Tamandua tetradactyla: one gene and its partner. Each later gene encodes a partner of the first gene's protein in a complex. Links are inferred from orthologs where the notes say so. Each region holds a gene or a part of one and is shown in the gene's direction. Other genes may lie near its edges. The genes, in order: MKI67 and NIFK.

Region 1 (7,472 bases):
AAGGGGAATTTAATCAGTTGCTAGTTTACAGTTCTAAGGGTGAGAAAATGCCCCAATTAAAAAAACAAGTCTATAGAAATGTCCAATCTAAGGCATCCAGGGAAAGATACCTTCTTTCAAGAAGGCCGATGAAGTTCAGGGTTTCTCTCTCAAGTGAGAAGGCACATGGCGAACACAGTCAGAGTTTCTCTCTCATCTGGAAAGGCACATGGTGAACATGGTCAGGGTTCCTCTCTCAAGTGAGAAGGCACATGGCGAACCTGGCATCATCTGCTAGCTTCTTCTCCTGGCTTCCTGTTTCATGAAGCTCCCCCGGAGACACTTTCCTTTTTCATCTTCAAAGGTCACTGCCTGGTGGACTCTGCTTCTTGTGGCTACGTCGTTCTGCTCTGCTCTCTCCAAATCCTTTATTCTCCAAAATGTTTCCTCTTTTATAGGATTTCAGAGACTAATCAAGACCCACCCAAAAGGGTGGAGACATGTCTTCACCTAATCCAGTTTAACAGCCACTCTCGATTCCATCACATCTCCAGGGAGATGATCTAATTACAGTTTCAAACATACAATGCTGAATAGGGATTAGAAGAAATGGCTGCCTTTACAAAATGGGATTAGGATTAAATCATGGTTTTTCTAGGGGACACACATCTTTCAAATCAGCAGAGCTGGGCATTGCCGGGGACATGTTCGGGCTCCATCAGGACCACACCATGCTGGCCCACTTGGTCAGCCCCAGGGAGCAATCCTGGGCCACCCACTCCTTCCCCAGTCCCCCTGCGCCAGCCTTAACCTGAGATAGACAGGCCCTTTCACCCACTCTGCTGGGTAGCTTCTTAGTGCCCCATTCCCAGGCTATGACCTTCTGCACCCAGGGGGTTGGGCCATTGGAAATCACCTGTGGGCTGAGTCAGGTGGAGGTACTTAGTCCCCATAATGTCACCTGTGGGATGTGGTGGGTGGTCCTCCCCAGCAGTCAATTTCATTAACTCCCCACTTCACCCTTCAGGCCTGGGCTGGGGGTGGGGAGGGGCTTCTCACGCCAGGCCCCGCACAGTCCCTTGTGGGCGTCCTTCCCGCTGTGGCGGGCCGCTGTTCCCCCCGGGGCTGGCCGGTATGCCCACCTGGACCACACCCAGAAAGGAAGCCACCAGGCTGCCCCCACAGTCTCTGAAGAAAACAACAAAAAAGACAGGAGTGACTCTGGGGCAGGAAGGGATAACATGAGCCAAGGGCCTCAGAAAGATAAAAAGCAGTGTGTTCATCTAGGAAGTCTGTTATTTTGAAGAAACAAACTCATATGATTTTTAAAATCAGAGCTCAATTTAGTCTGTGCAATTTTTTGAGTTAATGAAAAAATTTTAAAAAGCACAGTAGGAAAATATTATGCACAATGTGAAAATTATGAACAAAACTGTATGCGTAAAGAAAACACCTCAAAATACTAAGGAATTTTATTCTGCTTTCCCCTGTTGCCTTCAAGGTGTGTCTTTCATTCTCACAGGTAAAGACAGCATAAATGTAAACGTAAAACTATATACATAAGCATGTTACTGAATGTTGAACCTCTCTCCATCCTTACAAAGCTCTCCCTGGACGGCCAGCTTCCTCTAGCAAGTGCCTCATTGACCTTCACAGCTAAACTCCCGGGAAGAAGTGTTCTCATTCCCCTCCCGTTCTCCCAGGAGTCCCCTCCAACCAGTTCCCACCATGCCACTTTCATGTCATGGTCACCAGTGGCCTCCAATTGACAAAGCCAAAGGTCGCGTCTCCGTCGCATGTCACCCAGCACCTCAGCAGCATGGCATTTTTTGTCCCTCCTACCTCTTCTCTGAAGCACAAGCTCTCCTGGTTTTCCTCCTGTCTCACTGGTTGCTCGTTCTCAGCCTCCTTTGCTGAATCCTGCTCTCTCCCTGCAGCCAGAGGGCACCCAGGCTCCAACCCTGAACCCTTTGCTTACTAGCACTCTAGTAAACCCATAACTCAATCCTGGGCCCATGAATTCCAGGCACATATATCCAACTGCTGGGGCTCAAACGCAAACTGAACTCATGATTATTTCACACTCAAATACATACACACACACACAAGACATGAAAAACACAACCGAAAACCCTCCCTAGGTTGACCCTTTGAGTAAACAAAACTGCCACCCACCCAGTTGCTCAAGCCAAAACTCTTGAGCAGTATCCCTGACTCCCCCCCCCCCCCCCCCCCCCCCCCCCGGCTCATTTGATTCCTCAGCAAATCCTGCCACTTCTCCTTTCACTTCAGATCCAACAACCCGCCCTTCTCACCACCCACCCTGGACTCCTGCAGGGGTCTCCCAATTGGTCTCTGCCTGCTTCTCACCTCTACCATCTGGTTTTTCTGCAAAAGGCAGAGGTACCTTTTACAATGTAATTCAGAGAGGTTATTTTTATAATCTTGGAATGGGCAGGCCTCTCCTAAGCAGGACACAATAACATTTAAGTATAACAATTTTTAAAGGACTATTAATTGAACCAAAAGCAAATGCCAACAGAGAAAGAAAATTACAGTACATGTGAGAGTTAATTTCCTTAAGAAAAACTTAAGTAAAAAGATAGACAAAAATAAGAGAAAATGGAAAATAGAACATATAAGTAAAACAAATATAGTGGATACTGCAGTCAGCAAATAATGCTTCTCCCATTCCCAAAACTGCCCACATCTATCCCAGGAATCTGTGACTGTGTTATGTCACATGGCAACAGCGAATTAAGGTTGCAGATAGAATTAAGTTTTAATCAGCTGACCTTGAGGGGAAACTCCAGCGGATCCCATGTGATCACGTGGGTCCTTGTAAGTGAAAGAGGAGAGAGAGTCAGCATGATTTAGGAGAAAGACCCGCAGCCCCAGGTTTTAGAGATGAGAGGCTTGCAGGAGCCCAGGAAAGCAACCGGAAATGCTGGACTCCCTTCTCGAGCCTCCATGAGACATGCAGCAGTCCACCTCGATTTTAGCCCAGTAAAGACTCGTTCAGACGTCTGACCTCCAGGACTGGAAGATAATAAATTCGTGTTCTTGTAAGGCTCTACATTGTGGTCATTAGTTTCAGCAGCTGCAGGAAACGAATACTGACACCAACATCTCATTCACCAAAAAAAAAAAGACGTGAAACCAAACAGCTCATCTTTTTTTTGTTCGTTTTTTTGCCTCTTAGATTGACATCAATTAAATAATAATGATCGTCATCAATATACTTGAGCTGGTCTGTAGGGAAAACAACACTCTGGCACCTTACTGGGGAAAGAAGATACTAGCTCAAACTTTTTAGAAAGAAGTTTGGTCATAAACGTAACAATTTTACATATGCATGTCTTCTGACCCAACAGATTTGTTGATAGGAGTTTGCCTTCCTGTATTCAGCAAAGCCTGCCAGCATGCACTGGTTTTTTTTAAAGGGGCTTTATGGAGATGTAACTGATGTACAATAAACTTCACATATTTAAAATGTGAAATCTGGTTAGGCTGAACACATCTGTGAAAACCATCCCTGCAATGAAAAGTGTGAACATATATATCCATTGCCCTCAAAAGTTTACTCAGCCCTCTTTATACTTCCCCCTCCTTTCTCTCCACCATCCCCTTTACCCCCAAAGGACTATAGATCTGCTTTGTTACGATAGACTAGTTTGCCTTTTCTACAGTTTTATATAAATGGGATCAGTCAGCATGGATTTGTTTTCCACTCGGCATAATTATTTTAAGATTCATCCAGTGGTCACGTAAGATTTTCTAATTGTAAAATTGTTTCTAGTAGCAAAGCTTTATAAACCGAAATAGCAATGGCACGATCAAGTAAATTAAGCAAATGGTGTGCAGGCGTCAAAATGAAAGTAGAAGCCGAGTTTATGCTGACAGGAGCTGACCTCAGGATTCATTAGCGGAGAACACTACAGAATAATGTGTATATGCTCTTTTGTGTAATGTTGAAAAAGAGACTACATGCTGGGAAAATACACAAGAATCTGCGGGAAATAACTGGTTCTCTTCCGGGAGAGGCAGGGACCGGCGAGGGAAGCTGGACTTCAACATTTTAGCCTTGTAGCAAGGAGGGGCGCCGCGTACGGGCCCTAAAAAAGACGAGGCAGGAAAGTTTATCTCCGCCCTGGGATCAGGCCCCACGTTCGGTGTTTTTAGGTTTTCCTCTACAGGACAAGAATACCACGTTCTCCCCGGACGCTCAACCCCAGGCGGTCGTGAGCATCGGGGTCGCGGGCCCCCCTCGAACTTGGGTTCCCCCACCTCGCCCGGTGCGCTCCTCCCGCCCTTCCGCGTCCCCATTGGCCGGCCCGCGGCCCGCGCCGCCCAATCACAGCGCTTAGCGCCGGAATTCGAATCGCTGTTTGGATTTGAACGACAGGAAGCGCGGCTCTCGGGGTAGTGGCGCGCGGGCGCGCGGAGGGATCCGGCCGCGGAGCCGGGGTGCGGCGCTTTGTGGCGCGAGCGGGCTGCGGCTGGGGCTCCGGGCGGACTCGGCGGTGACGGGCCCGGAGGAGCGGGCCGCGGTCGGTCTAGGTGAGCCGGCCCGGGGGCCTCGAGGCGGGGTTCGTGGCGCGGCGTCTCTGGTGCCATTGGCTCCTGGGTCCCGGGTGGGCCCCGGTGAAGGCGAGGGGCTCGGGCGCTCTCGGAGGGTGTTGACTGGGTGGGCGATGTGCGGGACGGGGCGACCCAGGGCGGTGCTGGGGGCGCCCTCGGGGGCCAGCGGGCGAGGCTCCCTGAGGGGTAGCAACGTGGGCGCGCACTCTGGGGCCGGTGGGCGAAGTCGCCTTTGACGGAGAGCCTGGGCCCACATTCGGGGCCTGGCGGGCGAGGAGCCTTTGGGGGACAGCCTGGGGCTGCGCTCGGGGGACAGCGTGGGGGCGAGGAGCGCGCTGCGGTGGATGGGGGAGGGCAGCGTGAGGGCATTCTCTGGAGGGACAGCCCGGGGGGGCGCCCTCGGGGGTAGGGGGTACAGCCTGGGGGCACCCTCGCGGGTTCGGGCAGCGGGGGCTTTGGTTAACATCCAGGGGCCTCTGATTTGTCTCTTAAAAAGTGACTTCTTAGCAAGCTTGCTTTGAGAGTAACCTTTCCCTCCTTTTGTTTTATTCAGTTTTTGCGGTGAAAGAGTTATTGGTAAATCGTTTTTTGACAAACCTTGTAAAACCTGACGCTCCTGTATGGACCGTGCTCTGCATATAGTTTAGAAAATGAGTCGTTTGTGCCACCTCGTTGTCATCAAAAGGAGCGGGATCGACGGTACCCATTTCCCGCTGCGGCGGGAAACCTGCTTATTTGGAAGGTGAGCTCGGTACTTCCTCTGTTCTTTTAATTTGGCAATTGTTTTTTACCAAATGAGATTTTGAAAATACATTAAGTGTTTTAATTTGGTGAAAGCCTTGAGATGGAGAAGGATAGAGGTTTTCACATTTGGTGCCCTTGACGCAGTCCTGAGAAGGCAGCTGGGTGGTGTGAAGCCCTGACTCGCTGCCCCTGGCTCTCGGGGCACACTTTGGGGTGGAGAAGGAAGGAGCCTCTGTTTGGCTCCTTGTTTTTTTTGGAAAAAAAATGAGCATGGGAAAGTCATGCTGCTTGTATTTTGATAAGTTTTCCTGTAAGGTTGCCTTTTTCTTTTGGTGGCGCTATTAACTGGATTTTCATGCTCAGCTTTCAATGACAGAATTGACAGAATTTCCATTGCTATATGATATCACACGAGTCTACATTTTAAAATTCCTCAGGTAAAGAACTTCTTTTTTTCCTTAAATGTGAAAAAGTAAAAGGTTGCCCTAGAACTGCAGTTTCTCATATCCCCACATCTGGATACAGCCATGTCCAGTCTGGTGGTTGTTGCGGTTAGCTGTCTTACAGACGTCTAAGGTTTTTGCTGTCTTTTAAGTAGGGTTATACTTAATGTCAGATTGTCTCTAAAATACATCTCGCATTTCTGCTTCTCTCAGATGGAACAGAAAGTAGGCATGCAGCCGCTAGTGCCACAGAGATTGGAAACTGCAGGGGGATAATTGTTTAACCTCTCTTCCCAAATCATCCCAGTTCCCAACTGGACCATCACAATAGCCTCTTCACTGCTTTTTCTTGCATCTTTTTCTTCTACAGTCTGTTCTTGGTACTGTAGCCAGTGCAGTTTTTAATTTTAATACGGTTTCCTTGTTGAGAACGGCTCTGAGGCTTCCATTAATGACCAAAATGCACAACACTTTGGAGGTAGTGTAGCTTAACTGTTAAGGGGTTGGGGTGGGGCCCCAGAAATCAGACTGCCAGAGTTAGACAGGGCAAGCTACTTCTCACCTCTTCATTTACCTCAACGTTTGTGAAGAAAGAGATAGTGCTGCCTAATTCGTTAGGTTATGAGGACTGAGAGAGCACGTTACCTAATAAGAATTATTGGTTTTGCAGCCTGTAAGTAGATGCCCATGTATCAGGGACAGTTTATCAGTTCATCAGGGACCATCGGAGTTTATGCCCATCCTATCGAACGGTCACCCTCCCGTGGAGCTCTGTGCTCTGGCCCCTGACTTCCTTCCCATCTTACCTGGTGCTCCCAGCCCATCCCCAGCCACAAGTCAGCATCTCCTTGGGCAAACCAGGCTCACGTTCAGCTTGGTGGTTTGGACAGTATGGACTTTATGCCTAGAATGTTCTCCCTCCCCACCTACGTGAGATTGCTTTCCCGCTTTCAGATAACAGTTTACATGTCGCTTCAGAGAAGCCTTTCGTGAGCACTTCTCTTCCTGCATAGCCACTTTACCAGTGATGAGTGCTTTTGGTCTCTCCCACTCAACAGAATTTCCCAAGGGTGAGGCCTGTCTTGTTAATAATTATGTATTCAGTGCTTGGTGTGGTATCTGGCATCTTGAGATGGTCACTGTTTAGCACTCTGTAAAGTGTTCAGTAGATTTGCATTTGGAATCAGCATGTAACAGTGGTTCTCTAGCAAGGGCAATGTGGGGCTCCGGGAAGCATTTTGCAAGGTCTGAAGACATTTTTCACTGTTGCAGTGGGGGAAGGTGTGCTACTGGGCATCAGGGAGTAGAGGCCAGGGATGCTGCTAAACCACATGGCGTGTGCAGGGCGGCTCCCACAACAAAGATACGTGTGGCCCCAAATGTCCACAGCCCGGAGTTTGAGAAATGGTTGAAAGAGAGTGATTGTTAGCCATTTCCTGCCAAACAAATTCTCAGTCTGTTTTTTGCTGGGATGGTTTTGTATCTAAAAACCAAATTCTGTTCTTTGACTAAAAGTAGCTGTTTACTTTCCATAGCTTCCATTCCCTTCTAAAGATAAAAAAAAAAAAAACCTGAACATTTCAGTCTCAAATGGAAGTAAGTTTAGTTACTATATAGCAATGATGAAATATATTTTTATGTAAGGTTTTGTAATTTAGAAGCCAATTCATAAGTGTCCATCGTATGACATGGATAGGAAGAGGTGTTCCTAGATTCCAAAGGTTT
Region 2 (7,459 bases), on another chromosome or scaffold:
GAATCACTGGATGTTATCGAACCCAACTTATTTCCCGTGAGAGAAATGGAATCTGCTACAGGTGGCTCAGCTGGGGCTAGGTGGGCTGGACTTGGAGGGATTCAGGTTTCAGGTCTGCCCTTTCGGTTCTGGTGCGTTTCTCATTTGAGGGCCCAGATTGAGGTATCAGTGACCTGGGTATGTTTTTCTCCCTGTGGATGGCACAAGATAGTGAGGGGAACTGGGAATACTTCTTCAAGCTTCCATTCAGAACTAATACAATCTGTTGTCTGCCCATGTCCCACTGGTCAAAGCAAATCACGCAACCTAAAGTCAGTGGGGCCAGGAGATAAGCTCCAGGAGGAATAAATGGGAACAAATAATATAATCAATATAGTGGGCCGTCCCACTCAATACATGCACAACAGCTGGGTGCTAAAGATCAGTAGCACCCCAAATCATGGTGAAAATTCCAGATGCCCTGAACATTTCCGAATGCTCCTAAGGGGCTTAATCACCACTACCCCCAGATGCCATTGAGAGTCCTTCTCAGTGCCTAGCAGACTCTCAGTAGATATTTGGTGAATGAATGAACTTTGCCAAATTGCTCTCCAGAGTAGTTGCAACAATTTACAAACTGCCTGGCCTTAGTTTAATGTCTTTTAAATATGAACAGTTCTATCAGGGCATAAAGGAATCTCATTTAACTTCTCCATGTATGCCTGGATGATTTTTCTTTTTTTTTTCCTTTTTTTTTTTTTCACATAAGCAGGCACCGGGAATCGAACCCGGGTCCTCAGGCATGGCAGGGAAGCATTCTTACCTGCTGAGCCACCGTGGCCTGCCCTGATTTTTCTTATATGCATTGAAATTTCTTTGGGGAGTTTTCTTACATTTTCTTTGCACATTTTCTATTAAAGTGTTCATCTTATTTATTTCGAATGACACTTGTTACATAACAACTAACATTTTCTCAGTTTGTTTTAGTTTGTTCAATCATTTTAAAAATAGACTATTTTTGTTGGTTTTTTTCCTGTTTTTAACTTATTTAAAAAGACGTTTTATTCATACACCATATAATCCATCCAAACTGTACCATCAGTGGCTCTCAGTATAATCACAGAGTTGCATTCATCACCACAATCAATTTTAGAACATTTTCACTCCTCCAAAAGGAAAAGTCCCGTATCTTTTTAGCTCCCTATTATTGATACTTAACCTTGGTGTGGTACCTTTGTTACAACTGATGAAATAATATTAAACTATTACTGTTAACTATAGTCCATAGTTTGCATTAGATTATTTTCCCCATAAACCTCCATATTATTAACACCTGAAATGCAGACATTTTTAATGTGACTTTATCCATTGAACGGACATACCATGCTTATCAACCCAGACCCTTGTCATAGGCCATTTCAGTTGTTTCCATTTCTTTCTCTTAAAAGTACCATTGTCACCAGGGTGTTTGTAAGTCTTTAGCAGGATTTCAGATCATTTCTGGTGATATGTTTAAAGTTCTTGACACATTTTGCCAAATCACTATCCAGACAGGTGGAACAAACTTCTACCCTTCTGCCCACCTGGGACTCTGTGAGCCAACTTGGCTATACAACCCCAACCTGAATGTTAACCCTGTAGACACTTGGGGCTACCTTAAACGTGAAACAATACCTCATTTTAGTAACCCAGAAGCCTACATATCAGTGCTGCACCTCTGTAAGGTTCCGTGAAGGGCAGGAGGGATGGAAACCCGAAGGAAGGAAGGAACAAACCCTTGCAGGCCTAACCCACCACGGGGTTGAGGCCTAGCAGCTGCTAATCTTACCATTAGTTGTGCTGGTGCTGCTAAAGAGCACAGTGTACCACAGTGTTATCATCTCATTCAAATTCTTCTTTTATAGACAAGGAAACTGAAGCCCAGAGACAACCTGGCCCAACAGGTTCACTCCCAACACCTGAGATAAGCCCAGGACCCATACTTTCCTTAGATACCATTTCAGGCTGTTCCCATTATAGTGATTGAAACCCCAAATCTCTACTCCTGTTGCACAAAGTGTGGTCCACAGAGCCTCAGCCTCACTGGGGAGCATGTTAGAGATAGATCCTGCAGCCCTAGCCCAGATCTGCTGGACCAGAACCTGCTTGTAACAATCCCCCCAGATAACCATGTGCTCACACTGTTAGGAAGTGCTGTGCTGTGAGATAGAGAGCAGGCGTGCCAGTTTTGGGGCATGACTCACCTAGGGGCCGCAGGCAAGGCCAGGAACCCATGGGAAGGTTGGGTGGGTTGGGGATTGGAGAGAGGATTTCCGGGAGAGAACTGTCGCTTGCTGTCTTCATTCCCTGCTCCTCTCCTCTCCCCAGGAGCTATGAGATCTGTCAAGAATCCATCCTGGGAATGAGGAGGGTGCCTGCCCCAACACATACACCAAAGGAGGGGCCTTCAGAGAACCAGGGAGCTTGGTCCACATCCTCTGGACTTTGGGGTCACAGGAACCAGGACCTGCCCAAAGTTGAGGCCCCCAGAACCACCCACAGCAGTGCAAGGTGGGAGTGAGGTGTCTCCCATTGACAGAGACAGCCCAAAGATGTGGCCCTTACTGAAGAACCAGGGCCGGGCAGTCTAGGAAGGCGCTGGACACAGAGTCCTTGGCAGACAGTAGGTCCTCGGCCCAGGCAGCCAGCAAGGGAAGCCTCTAAAGAGCTTGGAGAGAAAGAGCCAGAAATGGGGGATGGCCCCTGCCAGAGCCCCCAGAGCCCTGTGGTCCCCACCATCACATCACCCTTCCTGGCCCTCCCTCTGCTCTCTGCCCACCCCCCCCCCCACCCCCCCCACCCCCGCAAAGGCCCCAAACAGCAGCTGGGCACAGGAGAGAGGCTGAGCCAGGAAGATGATATGGACAGTGACACCTTGGGAGATTTCTCTGCTCCAGGCAGGCCATTGCTGGGAGAGGGGACCTTTGACCTTGGATTTGGAAAACCTGGAATATGCTTCTTTTCATAAATAACTGTGGGGGCATTGGAAAAGTGATGAGCTGGCCCCAAAATTTCATTCTGGGCGAGCAGAGAGAAGCCCAGGAGAAAGAGCAATCCTGAGGAAGAATCAGGCTGCTGCTAGCGGCCCTCCTGAACCTCCAGCCTGGGCAGGAAGATACTGGCAGGAGGGAGTATCCAGGAACAAGCTGCAGTCACGGCAGGAAAGGATGCTTCCTAGAGGGGTGACCCCCCCCAACTAAGCCCTGAGGGTGACCGGAGAGAGGAAGGCACGCCAGGCCAGAGGTGAGAGGTCCCCTCTCCCTGCACAGGCCCCCTAGTCCGCCCCCCACAGCCACACTGCCCACCTCCGCGGCGGACACGCACATCCCAGCGCCCAAAGGTCGTCCTCCCCAGTTCACACACACAGCCTTGCTGTCCCCCAGGCCACTCTGCCAGGGCTGTCGCTGTGGCCTCCGCTCCACTCTCCACCCTTACTAGGCAGGATTTGAACACTTTTTTAAGTCTGGACAGCCAGAGCCTGGCTTAAAGCCCTCACGTGCTCTAGCATTAACATAAAAACCCCAGCTCTGCCTCGGGACGCGCAGAGCCCAGGAACTCCAGGCAGCCCGCCTCTTTCCAAGTGTCCCACACGCAGGCCCCGTCCTGCCTACGCTTGTCCGCCCCTCACCCCCCACCCAGCCTGAGCTGTTTCCCCACCTGCGCGGTCCTTTCTGCCAGGCGCTGTTGTCCCTATGCCTGCGCTGCCCACCGTTTGCGCCGTCCCTTCTGCTGGCGCTTTCCCCCGCACCTGCGCTGTCCCCTCTGCCTGCTCTGACCTCCTGCCATCTGCACTGTCCCCTCTGCCTGCTCTGACCCCCTGCCATCTGCACTGTCCCCTCTGCCTGCGCTGACCCCCTGCCATCTGCACTGTCCCCTCTGCCTGCGCTGACCCCCTGCCATCTGCACTGTCCCCTCTACCTGCACAGAAACCCTGCCTGGACGTGGGTCCCTGCTCCTTACACTGGGCTTCCCGCCGCCTTAAGGTCTCAGTTTATTTGACCCCTGGGAGACCCTGCTTGGCCACCAAGTGTATCTCCTAGGAACTCTCAGGTCTGTCGCAGCCCGCAACCCACCCTCCAGAACGGCTTTAGCAACCCGGTTTTGCCTGCCCAGACCGTAAATACCCCAAGGATTAGTAGCCCAGGGACACGTAAGAGGGGCTCAGAAACCAAATGAGCGAAAGAAGAGAAGCATCAGTGACGGAATGGTGCCCAGCACTGAAGGGCACCGGTGTTGTTTGGGAGATTATTTTTAATTCCCCTTCGAAATTGGCGGGCAAAAAGTAGGCGTGATCCTCTGCCATTTTGAACGCAAGGAAGGTGTGAGAGCACCGCCAGGCGGTGCCGCACCGGCAGGGGGCGCCCGCGCTTGCCTTGGCCGGACCCTCGCACCGCGCCCCGCACCGCGCCCTGCAGCTTCCGCTTCCGCCTCGCGACAGCCACTGGCACCGTGCTTCCGGGAGCGCCGCGTGGAGTGTGTCGGCTGGTGTACTTCGGTCATGGCTGAAGTTTCTGGCCCGGCCAAGCCACTCCTGTCCCTGGACCCGCAGGCGCAGGCCAAATTTCAGAAGCAGGTGGCGCATGTCCGCCAGCGCGCGACCCAGGTGAGCGGTCCAGCAGCCGGGACTGTGTGGGGAGGCGTAGACTGGGGCCCTGCGCGGTGCCTGTCCGAGAGCGCCTGGCGCACCTCACACCTCGGTCCCCATCAGCGTCTCCCCGAGTGAGCGCCCGGCCGAGTCAGGGACCCACCTCGGGAGCTTGTAGGCCGAGGTTTCCACTTTCCCAAGACAAAGAGGTTTCAGCTCGCCCGGAAGTTGTGGTGGAGTTTGGGCGCGGAGGCCTTACGTGGACATAAGGGGCAGATATTGGGGAGACGCAAGGAGGAAAAAGAGCCAGTTTGTGGAAATGGCCATCCTTTACCGCAGATTAATTCGTAGTTAAAGCCGTTACGCTTCCGTTTTGTCCTCGAAAATGGGACCTCAGATATGCTTCACCGTTCAGAAGATTTATGTGCACAATTGTTGATTTTGAAGATGTTCAAAGACAATATTTGACACGTCCCTCTTGCTTACTAGGGCCCCTGGCATCAGGTTTATAATTTGATCTTCAGCATAAGGTACCACGTGTGGAAAAAATTGTTTGTGTAGAGAGTAATGGTACAGTGGCCGAGAGGCTGAGAGGTCCGCCTGCGTTGTGAACGTTAGCAAACTTCTCGTGGTTGCTTGGTTAGGTGTGAGTGGATAGTGAGCGCCGTAAAAAATTGAAGGGAGCAAAGCTTAGTACATTTGTGCGGAGTTCTTTTGGCAGTAAATTTAAAATGACATGTTGAAAGATTTATTTGCTCACCCAACGAGTTAACAAAGAGTTGAGCACATTGTGTTCAGTTTTGGGAAATAAGTCTGAGAAGGCAACTGTCTACTTGACGCCTCTACTGGGGAGATGGACGTTAACCAGCTAATTCTTCAATTACAGCTGTGATAAGTGGAAACATAGAGTAGGTTCTTGGCGTCTTTGATGAAGAATCTAAATCTCGGTTGAACCTGGAGCTGGGGGTTTTGCAAGTTTTGTTGCAATGTCACTGTTTTAATTTAAAATATATTTTGTTTACTTGGTCTATCTGTAGCAAGAAAAACTTACTCCCGGAGTAATCTATGTGGGCCACATACCTCGAGGCCTTTTCGAACCCCAGCTCCAGGCATATTTCTCCCAGTTTGGCACTGTCACAAGACTCAGGCTGTCCAGAAGTAAAAAGGTAAACATTTTTGTAGTTGAATTCGATTACTTTTGTTTTTCAAGTGTATATAATCCTTGACAGTTTACAGAGCATTTTCACTCATCATTGTTTATCAGACTTCCCACACAAAGGGTGATGGGAGCAGGGAATGGGGCTTAGATCCTGAAACAACCCACAGGAGCACAATCAGTATTGTTACGAATCATTTGTTTTATTGTTAAGAAAAAAAACTAACCAGTTTGCACCAAATCTTCAAATTAAATTGACAGTCCTGGTCAGTGAGCTATATCCTGTGGCTACTAACCCAAAGATACATGAACCTCACTTTGAAGAACCGGTTCATATATCATCTGGCATTAGCATCCTCGTAATAGCGAATGTTTGGTAGATTAATTAAGAGTGAAGGCTCTGGAGTCAGCCTTCCTGGGTTTGAAGCCTGCCTCTTCATCTTGCTAGTTGTGTGACCTTAGGCAAATTATATTTCTTTATGCTTTCATTTTCTGGTCTGTAAAATGTGAATAATAAAGCACTGACTTCCTAGAAGTATTTATTCAATAATTAAGAGAAGTAATAAATTAGAGCAATGCCAGACATACAATAATTACTATATAATGCTGTTAGGTTGAGTCTATCTCCTTAAGAAAAAGGTTTTTGTAGTTGATTTCAGTAATAGAGGAGTAACCCACTTTATTCTCTGCGCCCCTACCTCCCACTTCTGTTCGTGGTACCCAAACTCACCTCTTTGTTGGAATCCTGTTTTCTTAAAAATATTTTTTCCACATTATCCCACCTGAGTTATATTAGATAAAAGTTAAAATTTATATTTGCTTTGGCATATGAGGAAATAGAGTATTCATCGTACCACCTACTAGTTGTCATGAAACACAGATTAAAAAATTTATTTTGTCAAAACAGCATCTTAACAACATTGAAGAAATTTTTAAATGAAAAGTTTCCTGATATTTCCTCCATCCTAACAAAAAAAAACAGTTTTCCCTGAATTTCTTTTAACTTTTTAATATTTATCTACTTGTTACATTGTTGTTATGTGGGTGAGACATTTCAATGTTTCAGACATCCTGAAATGTCTAATAAGGAATAATTTAGTAACTTCACAGGTATCCCCCATTCAGTTTTATCAGATGTCAATATATCATACTTGCTTCAGATCTTTGTTCTTTAAGTAGTAGATTTATAGGTAGAGTTGAACCATTTGGAAGAATAAAAGATGGTTATAATCATTTATCCTTTGATACTTCATCATAAACTTCCTGGGAATAAGGACATTCTCCTACATACCCACAGTCATATATAAAAATACCATCCATCTTCACATTTTCCCAGTTGTCCCAGAAATGTCTTTATGACTAGAACTGTCTCCCTGCTTGATTTTGTTTTTCTTGACGTTGGCTTTTTTGAAGAGTTTAAGGCCAGTTGTCTTATAGAAAGTCCTTTCATTGAGGAGAGGTGCTAGAATTTACCGTCTCCAGCACTGTTGCATAGTAAAGTTAACCATCTTCCCCACACCACCTGAATTTTAAACTTTTTGCTTGAGCTGTCCACATTCTGGGATTACTGGGTAAAAGTATTAATACTTTTTTTGACACTTGAAAGTATTTTCAAATCACTTTAAAAATTTATAGTCGTAGTAGATTGAGTTGGAGCTCATAATCTCTTCCTGTCCTACATATTCTTATTGGAATTGAGA

The links.
Region 2: the proteins of MKI67 (region 1) and NIFK are in contact, whole or in part, in an NMR structure (PDB 2AFF), measured with the Homo sapiens proteins. The link is inferred for Tamandua tetradactyla from reciprocal best matches to the Homo sapiens genes MKI67 and NIFK. Residues at the interface, in NP_002408.3 of Homo sapiens: Thr9, Ile10, Lys11, Arg12, Ser13, Pro18, His19, Phe20, Pro21, Ser23, Leu24, Arg31, Gly32, Ile33, Glu34, Cys35, Asp36, Ile37, Arg38, Ile39, Gln40, Leu41, Pro42, Val43, Val44, Ser45, Lys46, Thr66, Asn67, Ile91; in NP_115766.3 of Homo sapiens: Val228, Asp229, Ser230, Gln231, Gly232, Pro233, Thr234, Pro235, Val236, Cys237, Phe241, Leu242, Arg245, Gln248, Val249, Leu252, Asp256, Lys257, Asp259, Glu260, Ile261, Val262, Phe263, Lys264, Gln265, Pro266, Ile267.

What each region holds. Positions count from the first base shown.
Region 1 is NC_135339.1:90,697,967-90,705,438, reverse strand, and holds the start of MKI67 (proliferation marker protein Ki-67), read left to right. Parts: upstream 1-4,426; 5' UTR 4,427-4,539; intron 4,540-5,113; 5' UTR 5,114-5,210; coding exon 5,211-5,302; intron 5,303-7,472. UniProt on the Homo sapiens protein: Protein that associates with the surface of mitotic chromosomes and acts both as a chromosome repellent during early mitosis and chromosome attractant during late mitosis.
Region 2 is NC_135329.1:91,616,391-91,623,849, forward strand, and holds the start of NIFK (MKI67 FHA domain-interacting nucleolar phosphoprotein), read left to right. Parts: upstream 1-4,445; 5' UTR 4,446-4,516; coding exon 4,517-4,621; intron 4,622-5,640; coding exon 5,641-5,769; intron 5,770-7,459.